Linked DNA regions of Ovis aries. The protein of the gene in region 1 purifies or fractionates together with the protein of each later gene. This does not show direct contact. Links are inferred from orthologs where the notes say so. Each region holds a gene or a part of one and is shown on either strand. Other genes may lie near its edges.

The links.
Region 2: the proteins of cytochrome c oxidase subunit 6B1 (region 1) and CHCHD4 purify together in Homo sapiens (co-immunoprecipitation; 3 studies listed by BioGRID and IntAct, with this or other methods). This does not show direct contact. The link is inferred for Ovis aries from reciprocal best matches to the Homo sapiens genes COX6B1 and CHCHD4.

Annotation. Positions count from the first base shown.
Region 1 is NC_056067.1:45,680,661-45,686,454, reverse strand, and holds the start of cytochrome c oxidase subunit 6B1, read right to left. Parts: upstream 3,406-5,794; 5' UTR 3,334-3,405; intron 1,779-3,333; 5' UTR 1,766-1,778; coding exon 1,660-1,765; intron 378-1,659; coding exon 277-377; intron 1-276. UniProt on the Homo sapiens protein: Component of the cytochrome c oxidase, the last enzyme in the mitochondrial electron transport chain which drives oxidative phosphorylation.
Region 2 is NC_056072.1:58,005,633-58,011,587, reverse strand, and holds the start of CHCHD4 (mitochondrial intermembrane space import and assembly protein 40), read right to left. Parts: upstream 3,297-5,955; 5' UTR 3,150-3,296; coding exon 3,128-3,149; intron 1-3,127.

The DNA of each region.
Region 1 (5,794 bases):
GCAGATGAGCTCCACAGGGACAGGGCATGTACTCGTAGAGCACCTGGGTGAGATAGATCTGGCTGCCTTAGCTGAGAGCCTGGCTGGTTGAGAGTCCTGGTGAAAGGAGGAAAGGCAGGCAATTTTAGGAAGAAGCAAAGGTGCATCCATGGTCGGTGTGAAGCCTTGTCCTCCCTCTGCCCCTCACAGATAAGCTCGCACCAAGTCCCCATATGCCCTTTGGCAAAAACCCCATCCCACCCCAGCATCCCAAGGGCCCCAGGAGGAGGCACCTACCCAGGATATGGGGCAAAGGGACTTGTACACACGCCGGTACCATTCGCACACAGAGACGTCACCCCCTTTAGCAGTCATTGCCTTCTCACAGCGGTGAAAGTCTGTGAAGAAAAGGGATCAGGGTCAGCCCAGACCAAGAGCTGGAACATATTTCTGATCAAAACTCACAGAAATACTTTTTACTTCACAACCAGTTACACGAATCCCCCACACTCCCAAGTTTCACAAAGAAAGTATATCCTTACAAGTGTAGTACTAAAAAGGGCTAGACACACCACACTAAGCTTATTTTGCAATCCATAAAGTACTACTGTCTGGGACTTCCCTGGTGTTAGGAATCCACCTTCCATTCATTACAGGGGACCTGGGTTCATGCCCCGGTGGAGGAACTAAGATCCCACAGGGTAACGAAGCCTAGCCTGTGCACCACAAAGGAGACCCGGAGTAGCCAAGAAAAAAAAGAAAAAGAACTACTGTTCAACTTGGAACTTCTGAGTCAGGAATAACAGGGCAACCTGAGAGGTGTGTGTAGGGATTATGGAAGTCCTGAACCAGGACAAGGGAAGGGCAAGATGGTCTTGATGCTAAGATGCTGGCATCCAGGAGAGGAGAAAGGAGGGGGATAATCTGGTTTTTAATAGTAGGAAATTAATTCAAAGATTATTCCAAGTATTACACTCCTGGGCACACTCCCTAAGAGAGAAAGCATTCACAAAGACATCAAATTACATCAATCATAGCAGCATCATTCATATGAGCCCCAAACTGGAAACCACACCAGTGTTCATGAATGAAATGTTGGAAAACTGCACACAATAAAAATGAGAAAAATATATGCCACAGCATGGAAGAATCTTCATAACTATTGAATGAAGAAATCCAAGCATAAGACAACACACAGTATTTCTAAAGTTCACAAAGAGGCAGACCTGAAAGTGGTGATAAAACCAAAATATGACTGCCCTAGGTCTGTGGGGTTACAACTCTGGTGGGGAGAGCAGAGTGTTGCTTTCAAGAGACGGCATGCAGCAGACAGGGGAGCTCAGGGGACTGGCAGTATCCCATTTTCTATCCAGATTATAATCACATGGAGGATTCAATTTAGAGTTATTGATTTAGCTGTACATTATGGTTTATGTACTTCCTATAAGCATGTTACATTCCATACAGATAGACATATACACATCTTGGGGGGGGAAATGACTATGGAATCCAAAGTTTGTGACCTTAGGTCAAATCTTGAATACAGGAGGTGATGGGTGGCATGGGCCCCGTGAAGTAGGATGTTCAGAATTAAAGAGAAGAGGCGATGAGGAGGTAAGAGGTAAGTGTGGGATCAGGGGAAGGTCAACATTGCCCGCCTCCTCCCCAAGTCCTGCTCACCCAGGTAGTTCTGCCAGCAGTTCCTGGTCTGGTTCTGGTTGGGGAAGCGGCTGTCAAAAGGAGCAGTCTGGTAGTTCTTGATTTTGGTCTGGATGTCTTCTGCCATAGTGTCAGCACTCCTGGAGGGAAACAGAGTGGATTGTGGCAGAGGTCCTGGGGGCCTGGACAGGGGGCTGTCAGCCCACCCAGGCCCAGTGGAGACCTGACAGAGAAGAATGGGCTGGGTGTGAACAAGCCAATACCCCCTCCCTTTCAACATACAGATAGAGGTGAAGGGCTGGGCAAGAACACATTAGTTATGGAAGTCACAGCAGGATGTGTCGGGGTAGACAACTGCTCGGTAAAAAAAAAAACAGGCCAAAATAACACTAGTTGATATTCACTGAGTGCTTATTATAGGCAAGGAAGCTTTACTCCTAAAGCTACTCTAAAAGACAGGAACTATTACTATCACTGCTTCACAGACAAGAGACAGGGTGTTTAAGCAACTTCCCAAGGTCATACAGCACACATGGAGTGGAGGTGCACTCCCACCACTAACATAACCTACACTGCAAAGGTTCTTAATCTCTATTGGTGCCATGAAGTACTCAGGAGTCTAATGAACCCTTTCTCCAAATATGTTTCAGGGCATTTAAAAATGGCACAGGATCACAAAGAAAACCAATTACATGTAGCTGAGGATTTATGAACTACCACAATTTCAAAATAATCACGCCTGAATAGGGTCATGCTGTGAAATCTGCAAACATAATGGGATATATGATATGATGACCTGTCATTTTCACTGCTGATAAAGTCACAGATGATGCCAAATACTACCGCTACTGCCTCCATTCCCAAGCGAAGGAAGAGAGTTCAATGAGAAACTGGCAAAAATACAGACGTAAATTTCCCTCCATTCACGTACTAGCATCCCATGAGTTCCATCCATTCTGCGGGCCTAGGGATAAAAACCTGTCCCATAATCTTTTATGAGGTGACAAACGGTTTTCATTAGGAAATCTGACACCGCCTCTATTCCAGATTATTCGAGGAGTCGTGGTATTACATATAAGTTAACCAGACCAGTAATAAATTCAAGTGACCCAAGGTAGTGGTAAGGATTTGGGGCACCGGAGTAGTGTCTTTCCGGGAGCAGAGGATGTAGAACACTAGAGGCGGGGACAGACTCGGTCGGAAGAGTTGTTTTGAAAGCCATCTCCACCTGATTTCGGGAGTAAGGATGGACTGGGGATGACGCTGCAGCCCCTCGAACGTGCAAGGGGCAGGGGGTGAGGGTGGAGAGTCACCAAGAAGCCAGGCCAGCCAAGCCTCGGGGGTCAGAGACCGGGGAGAGAAACGCCTGCGGCCTGGTGATTAAGAGCAATGCAGTCCTAATGATTTCAAATCCTGATCGCTAGCTAAACTGCGTAGTATCTAAGCCTCAGTTGCCTCCTAAAAGAGATAATCACAGGCCCTATCTCAGAGAGTTGGAGGGAAGCTTAAATGAATCAATATAAATCGCTTTGAAAGTTCTAGACATCCGAGAAGAACCAAATAATCGTCAGATTGAAACGACCCCAGGGCTCCGGGAGGTCAGCCACCGCAGGCTGGAAACCTCATTTCATTTTCTAGTAGGGATCCTCAGTCCTCCAAGATGGGGTTCCAGGGTCCCAAGCCCTCAACACTCACCTAAAGATGCCCCTGAAGTCGCTGGAAGCTCAATGTGACCCTCAGCAAAGACGCCAGTACCGGACCGGAAGCGGAAAAAAGGTCGGCCGGAAGCGGGACGGAGCAACGCACAGAAGAGTCTTCCGCACGGCCAGAGCGCCGTCCCTGAAGCAGTTCGGGCCACGCCCATATTGCAAATTCCAACCTCCTATTGGGCCGAATGCCTGTTCATCCTCATTCTGGGCCCAATCGTAACCTTGCGTGGCACTTGTTAGGTACCTTTCCGAGCTGTTGCAAGCTGTGGGCTCCGTTCCAAGGTATTGACCCGGCCTGGTCAGCTCTCTGTCTTTAATAGAGAAAGGGGTTCTGGTTCCTGGAGTTGGCTGTTGAGTGGTCCTGCGGAAAATAGTCCAGCAGAAATGCTCTTATTTGTGCAAGAATTATTTATTGAATATTTTACCCAGTGCCAGGTGCTTCTATTGGTGGCTCGGAGGTTAAAGCGTCTGCCTCCAGTGCGGGAGACCCGGGTTCGATCCCTGGGTCAGGATGATCCCCTGGAGAAGGAAATGGTAACCCACTCCAGTATTCTTGCCTGGAGAATCCCATGGACGGAGAAGCCTGGTAGGCTACAGTCCGCGGGGTTGCAAGGAGTCGGACACGACTGAGCGACTTCACTTCAAGCATAGTTGAACTAAACACAAAAATCTCTGTGACTATTATGGGGCCAATTGTTAGTATGAAAGTGAAAGTGGCTCAGTCGTGTCCAACTCTTTGCGACCCCATGGACTTTCCATGGAATTCTCTAGGCCAGAATACTGGAGTGGGTAGCCTTTCCCTTCTCCAGGGGATCTTCCTGACCCAGGAATCGACTGTTGTCTCCTGCATTGCAGGCGGATTCTTTACCAACTGAGCTATCAGGGAATCCCAATTGGTAGTTTCAGTTCAGTTCAGTCGCTCCGTCGTGTCCGACTCTTTGCGACCCCATGAATCGCAGCACGCCAGGCCTCCCTGTCCATCACCAACTCCCGGAGTTCACTCAAACTCACGTCCATCGAGTCGGTGATGCGATCCAGCCATCTCATCCTCTGTTGTCCCTTTCTCCTCCTGCCCCCAATCCCTCCCAGCATCAGAGTCTTTTCCAGTGAGTCAACCCTTCTCATGAGGTGGCCAAAGTACTGGAGTTTCAGCTTCAGCATCATTCCTTCCAAAGAACACCCAGGACCGATCTCCTTTAGAATGGATTGGTTGGATCTCTTTGCAGTCCAAGGGACTCTCAAGAGTCTTCTCCAACACCACAGTTCAAAAGCATCAATTCTTCGGTGCTCAGCTTTCTTCACAGTCCAACTCTCACACCCATACATGACTACTGGAAAAACCATAGCCTTGACTAGAAGGACCTTTGTTGGCAAAGTAATATCTCTGCTTTTCAATATGCTATCTAGGTTGGTCATAACCCTCCTTCCAAGGAGTAAGCATCTTTTAATTTCATGGCTGCAATCACTGTCTGCCATGATTTTAGTGCCCCCCAAAATAAAGTCTGACACTGTTTCCACTGTTTCCCCATCTATTTGCCATGAAGTGATGGGACCAGATGCCATGATCTTCGTTTTCTAAATGTTGAGCTTTAAGACAACTTTTTCCCTCTCCTCTTTCACTTTCATCAAGAGGCTTTTTAGTTCCTCTTCACTTTCTGCCATCAGGGTGGTGTCATCTGCATATCTGAGGTTATTGTTACCTCTCCCGGCAATCTTGATTCCAGCTTGTGCTTCTTCCAGCCCAGCGTTTCTCATGATGTACTCTGCATTTAACTTAAATAAGCAGGGTGACAACATACAGCCTTGACGTACTCCCTTTCCTATTTGGAACCAGTCTGTTGTTACATGTCCAGTTCTAACTGTTGCTTCCTAACCTGCATATAGGTGTCTCAAGAGGCAGATCAGGTGGTCTGGTATTCCCATCTCTTTCAGAATTTTCCAGTTTATTGTGACCCACACAGTCAAAGGTTTGGCATAGTCAATAAAGCAGAAGTAGATGTTTTTCTGGAACTCTCTTGCTTTTTCCATGATCCAGCAGATGTTGGCAATTTGATCTCTGGTTCCTCTGCCTTTTCTAAAACCAGTTTGAACATCTGGAAGTTCACGGTTCACGTATTGCTGAAGCCTGGCTTGAAGAATTTTTAACATTACTTTACTAGCGTGTGAGATGAGTGCAATTGTGTGGTAGTTTGAGCATTCTTTGGCATTTCCTTTCTTTGGGATTGGGATGAAAACTGACCTTTTCCAGTTCTGTGGCCACTGCTGAGTTTTCCAAATTTGCTGGCATATTGAGTGCAGCACTTTCACAGCATCATCTTTCAGGATTTGAAATAGCTCAACTGAAATTCCATCACCTCCACTAGTTTTGTTCATAGTGATGCTTTCTAAGGCCCACTTGGCCCCAGGTAAATAGCAGGGAGAGAACACAGCTCCACCCATCAACAGAA
Region 2 (5,955 bases), on another chromosome or scaffold:
TGACTTATCTTGTATCTCTAGCCCTGGTGCTCGATGGCCATGCTGGTTTAACAGACCAGCTGACAGGGCTTGACACGGTCTGCAGCAAGAGCACACGCACGGCCCTGCGCGAGAGGGAGGGCTGGCTTGGGAGGCGCTGGCTCCCGGGGCCATCAGCGTGCCAGAGGCTCAGGACGGGGGTTCAGACTGGGGCTCAAGCACACAACAGCTGCTGAGTGCACGCCTACCTCGGGGACCTGCCAGGCCGTGCTGTCGTCCAGGAGCGCATTCAGACACCTCACAGCCACCTTGCCCTGACTTCAGACCTCCTGCTCAGATGGCACCTTCCTTCATCCCTCCCCATCGCCTCTAACCCGCCTTCTCTCACCCACAATTACTTATCTGTTTACCACCCATCTCCTCGACTGACATGTCAGCTCCTCGGGGGCAAGGGTGCATCTGTTCCATTCACTGCAGTAGCTCAGAGCCTAGAACAGTGCCTGCGACACAGTGAGCAATCAGTATTTGCTGGAAAAGTGAGTGGGGAAATGAGCTCTGAGCTCAGACAAGAAGATCCCAGGCCCCGCTGAGTATGGAGGAGAGATGGCTATCACCATGAAGCAGGTCACAGGGACAAAAATAACACCTTGCTCGGGTGGTCTCATTTCCCCTAGAACACATCACCGCTTGCCACACCCAGCCTGCCCCCTCCACTGCCTCCACCATGCCACGGGGCAGACTACCCACCTGTGCCAACGGCCTCTGCCATGTGGTCAGGGCCGGCACATCACAGGTGCTCGGTGACTGTCTCCTGACAGAACAGGAAAGAGCGAGGCCAGCTGGAAGGAGGACAGCGACAGGGGCAGGGCGGCCCCGGGCCAGGGAGCCGGCCGGAGTCCATGCTGCCTAACGCCCTGACTGACCCCAGGGCTGGGGGGCGGACCCCTGAAGTCAAGTGCATGGGCAAGTGATTCCCTCAGAAGAGAGGGCAGCCGTGTGTACCGGTCCACTGGGTGACGCTGCGGGGAGTGTGGCCCATCTAATGCTCTCAGCCTGCTGCAACGCAGACAAGCCGGAAGAGGACAAAAGTACACCAGGGAATTTCCGAGAGTTTAGGATGTGGAAGACAGGAAGGCAGGGAAGACCTCACTGAGGAGGTGGCATCTGCACTGAACCCTAAAGGATGACGAAGCAGCCGTGAGAAGAGCCGGGGGAGGGACGCACCAGGCCAAGGGAATAGCCAGAGGCCGGCCTGGCTGCACAATGACAGGTGCGTAGAGACCAGCAGGAGCCAGGTCAGGCCTCAATCACACAGGCCTTAATCAGGAAGGAGCTGGGGTCAGTGCTCTAAGTCCCATGGGAAGCATAAGGAATCCATGGATAGAAAAACAAGAAGTTCGGGACTGAGGGGACAGTGGCGTGGATAGATAAAAACCACGCAAGGCCTAAAGGGAGTGCTTTTAATTCTTATCCCCAAAGAAAGAAAGTGATCTTTGATCCAGGAAAAGATATGGGTCTGAACACTTACCTCTGCTTCCCAGATAACATGTGACTCCTAGGAACCCACAAGAATGAGGATTATAGCCTCATTATACTCAAAAGACTAAAAAAAATCTGCTACACAAAGGAGTAAATTAGACTCAGGACGATGAAATAAAAAACTAGAGACCTACTCTCTAACAAACTGGTGAGGGCAGAGGACTTCTGCTCATGGCAGAGTTCAGTATCAATCAATGGGACCTGCTTCTCAGAGAGAGACATCACTGTGTCGTGGCTTTGCGGCCCAGGGAAGGAGGGTTCCTGAGGCAGAATGGGGTACTGGGAAATTGGTCACTCAGTCGTGTCCAGCTCTTTGCAACCCCATGGACTGTTGCTCTGTCCATGGGATTTTTCAGGTGAGAACGCTGGAGTGGGTTGCCCTTTATCAGAATTCCATGGACTGTATAGTCCATGGGGTCACAAAGAGTCGGACAGGACGGAGCCACTTTCACTTTCCTCCTCCAGGGGATCTTCCCCACCCTGTGACTGAACTCCAGTCTCCTGCATTGGCATCTGAGCCACCAGAGGAGGCCACTGGCACAAAGGCTTAGTATTTTAAACTGAGCCGTGAGCTGAAGCTTGACACACTTCTCCTAATTGAAGCATGACCTTGGGCAGGTCACCTCCATCTCTGGGCTCAGGATTTCCTGAAATAACTGAGGGAGCTGGAGTATTCACTAGAGAATTTCCTGGGACTTCCACTTCTCTCTGGAACTTCAGTCTCAGATATCCACCCTCCCCCTCACCCGGCATGGAGAAGGTGCTTCATGAATATCTGCGGAATGAATGAAGACTAACTTCTCATTTTACAAGACTGGACAACTGGGCCTGGAGGGCCTGGGTGTCAGCTCAGGGACAGTTCGTGGTTGCGCGGGGAGGCCCGCGAACCGCGGCCTGGAGACTTCCTAGGTGAGAGACCGCAGGCGGGGACCAACTTTTGTTTTTTTCTGCGGGATGTCTTCCCAGCGGAGGGCTCCCTGGAGTCCTCTGGGCACCAGACGGAGAAGCTCTGGAATCAGACCGCGGGCTCCAACCCCAGCTCCGCGAGTAGCCCGCCGCGTGGCTCAGCCAAGTCACCTCTGGGGTCTTGGTTTACTCTTGGGATAAGAGCAGGGCCTGATTTAGGAAAGTCGCTGCGAGACAGGCCACTCAAGGCTCCTGGCGCAGGGCCTGACCCGTGCCCGCCGGCGGCACTCCCACCGCCAGCGTCGCGCCCACCGAGGGGCGACCTTCCGGGTCAGTTAGAGGCGGTGCAAACGGGAACACGTGGTGCGTGGCGAGCGGCGTAGCAACATAATTAGTAATCAGCACATTTCCCGTTACCAGCCTCAGGCAGCGCGCTCGCGCCGCTCTAACCCCCGGGCCCAGTTTACGAGTCTCCCCACGTGCTGTTCCCTCCGAGGTCCAGGTTCGAGTCTCTCCGAGACCCGGGACAGCCTTACTGCTCCGTGGGCCTCGGTTTTCTCATCCGAAAAGTGGGGCTGGCGACCCCGCCGCCAACCCGCACCCTCCTCCCGGGAACTCGTGCCCCGCGCCCTCAGTGGGGGCGCTGCATGGACCGCGTGTCGCAGGGCCTCGGAGGCCGTCTCCACGCAGCCCGCCCTCCTACCTTCCTGCCGGCAGTAGGCCATGATGCAGCCCGGCGCTCCGACCTCGCGGCGGTCGCCTCACGCCGTGACCTCTCCGCGGCGGGGCGGGCGGCTCGGAGGCCCGCACGGACCCGCCCCCCAGGCCTGCCCGCCGCGCGCCTGCCTCGGCGCTTCCAGCTCGGCGCGCTCAGCCGGTAACTACATTTCCCGGCAGGCTGCGCGCCTCGCGGCCACGCCCCAGGCAGTAGGAACTACATTTCCCAGAATGGCTTGCAGTGCGCGGGCGCGTCTGTGAGGCGTCAGTGGGTGGCAACTTTCGGAAAGCACCCGACCCAGGACTACGTTTCCCAGGAGGCAGTGCGGCACGGCGAGCGAGGGCCAAAAGAGCCCGGGCTCCCTGGGCGGCAGCTCTGTGGCGCGTCCCGGGCCCTGGGTTGCGCCGCTGTCTGCCGCTCTCGGGCGGGCGAGAGGTCGCGGACTCAGTGCTGCGGCGTAAACCCTACTCCGCGCTGGGCCGAGCGAGGCGGGCGGCGACCGGGCCCCACCATGGCCGCGAACGTGAGTGTCTCCTGGTCCGCCGGCCACACCCAGGCCTCCCGGTCCTCCGGCCCCTCTTCCCGCGGGCGTGTCGCGGCGCCCTGCCGGGTGGTCCCCCCCGTCCACTCGCCCGCCTCCCTCCCGCACCCGTGTCCGCGCCTTCCGGCAGCTGTGCCGTCTGTCTTGCTCAGCCCTGCCCGACTCCTTGGGCCCCGCGGTGTTGGGGACCGGGCCTCTGGCCCGTGGCTCCGGCTCGGGGGTCCTCTGGTGCGGGGCGCCTCCGCGTAGCCCTTCTCTTCGTTCCCGGTTCCCTCCTGGACCTTCAGGGTTGTCACGTGTGCGGACTTGGAGGGCCGGACGGGGCCGCAGAGAGGTGGCCAGTCCACGGGGGCGGTGGGGAAGCCGATCCGCCCTGCTGGAGCTGTCCAGCGACGTGCTGTACGGGGCGGGCGGTGAGCTGCGTGCCCAGCGGGGTATGTAAGACCGGGGCTGTTATGATACAGGGGCGCAGGCCAGGTGGGGAGCGGAGACTTCAGGGCGGCGGGCAGAGGGGGGCATTTCCCTACGGCCGGGCGCTCGTCCTCCTAGCAGGGGTTTAGTTGCAGAGCCCCTCGCTGAAGGTGGTGCCCCTGGAAAGGCTGCTGGCCTCCTGCCAGCAGCCAGCCTTTCTCAGGAACCTTTCTATTTAAGCCAAACATTCATTCAACAAACCGAGGGGCACCTCCCACCAGGGTGTTGGGAGAAGGAGCTGGTGACTCAGGCTTCGCTCCTCTGTGAAAGTGTCTGGAGCCAGCTCGGAGCCCTGCCAGCCGGGGCACTCCCTCCCTCTTGCTTTGGTTGAGCGTCCTAGCCACTCTCCGCTGCTCTGTTACACCCTTCCAGGCTCCTCCTCTGTCCCCAAGCGTCCTCTCTGCCTTCCACACCCCCTGAGAAGCCAGGGCTTTCGTCACCCACAGCCCCAGTACACCCTGCCTGGTGTAGAGTTGTTTGGGAGGCCGAGAAGCCTTAAGCGGTGCACCTAGAGGTGGTCCCCCAGATGCAGGGTCTGCCAGGGGAGGCCTGGGCTGTGTCAGGAGACAGGCGTGCCCTCAGACCACCGCCACCATACCTTACAGATGAGGGCTTCCCAGCAGGGGCACGTGCTTGCCCAGGGCCCCACAGCCAGCTCGGTGGGTCATGGGAAGGTGTGACAGGCTTTGGAGTCAGGCCCACCTGGGGAAAGATCCAGATTCTTCCTCAGTAGCTATGTGACCTTAATTTCTTGGGATTTTTGTTTCCGCATGGGCTCGGTTACTGTGAAGTTTAAGGAAGACTCTGCTTTTAGCACAGTGCCTGGTGCACCGCAGGTGCTTACTATGTTAAAAAGCAGTTTATCTTCAGTCCTGATGGGCAGAGAATCTCGGATACATAGGGTCCTGATCTTTGCCAAAGAGTGTAGATGAATTTGGGTATCCTCTGGCACCAAACCTTCGTTGATTGACCCAGTACTGGGGTGCACATTTACAGGGACCAGAAGGCCCGGTGCCGAAGAAAGATCAGAAGATTGTGGGCTGGAGCAGGAAGGACACAGGATTCTTAATCACTCTAACCTCCATCCAGTAATGGAGTTACTGTTGACATCTGTGCTTTATAAATGAGTGAACAGGGTCAGAGGGGTAAAGCAGCTGACCCTGGGTTACACAGGAAGTGATTTTCAGGAGCTGTAGGTCAGCCCCTATCCCGCCACGCACTGCTCATCGCTTCTAAGCCTGGAGTAGGGCAGCGGGCAGAGGGGAAATCGCCGCCGCCCTCGTTTACTGGGAATCTGGCCTAGAAAGTGGGCTGGGTGTGTCATGCCAGCCTGAGGATCGCCTTCTTTCTTCTCTTCAAGGCCGTCTTTGAGCCGCTTATCTTGATGTTGGCTGTTACGGGTGGTTGGGGGGAGGCCCAGGAGGAAGCCAGGCCTTCCAGGGCCCAAGTTGGGGACTGGCTTCTTTTCCCATCCTACGTGCCTACCTCGGGCTCCCCGTGTTCAGCCCCTGTTGTGGCCCCAGGCGTGAGGAAGGCAGTTTGGAGTGGAGTGGCAGAGAGTGGCCCCCAGTTGCCCAGATAGGAATCCTGCGTCCGCCTCTTAGAGGCTGTGTGGTGTGGACTGGCGCTGTGACGGCTGACCACTGTGTGCCCATCTGTGACGTGCGGTCGTGACGGTGCCCACCTCCTCGGGCTTGTGCAGGACTGGCGTCTGATAGACTGGCGTGCTTGCCGTTGCCATCATCATAATGGCTGATGCTCACCTGTCTGCCCGCAGCGAATTGCTCCACTCACGTTTCCA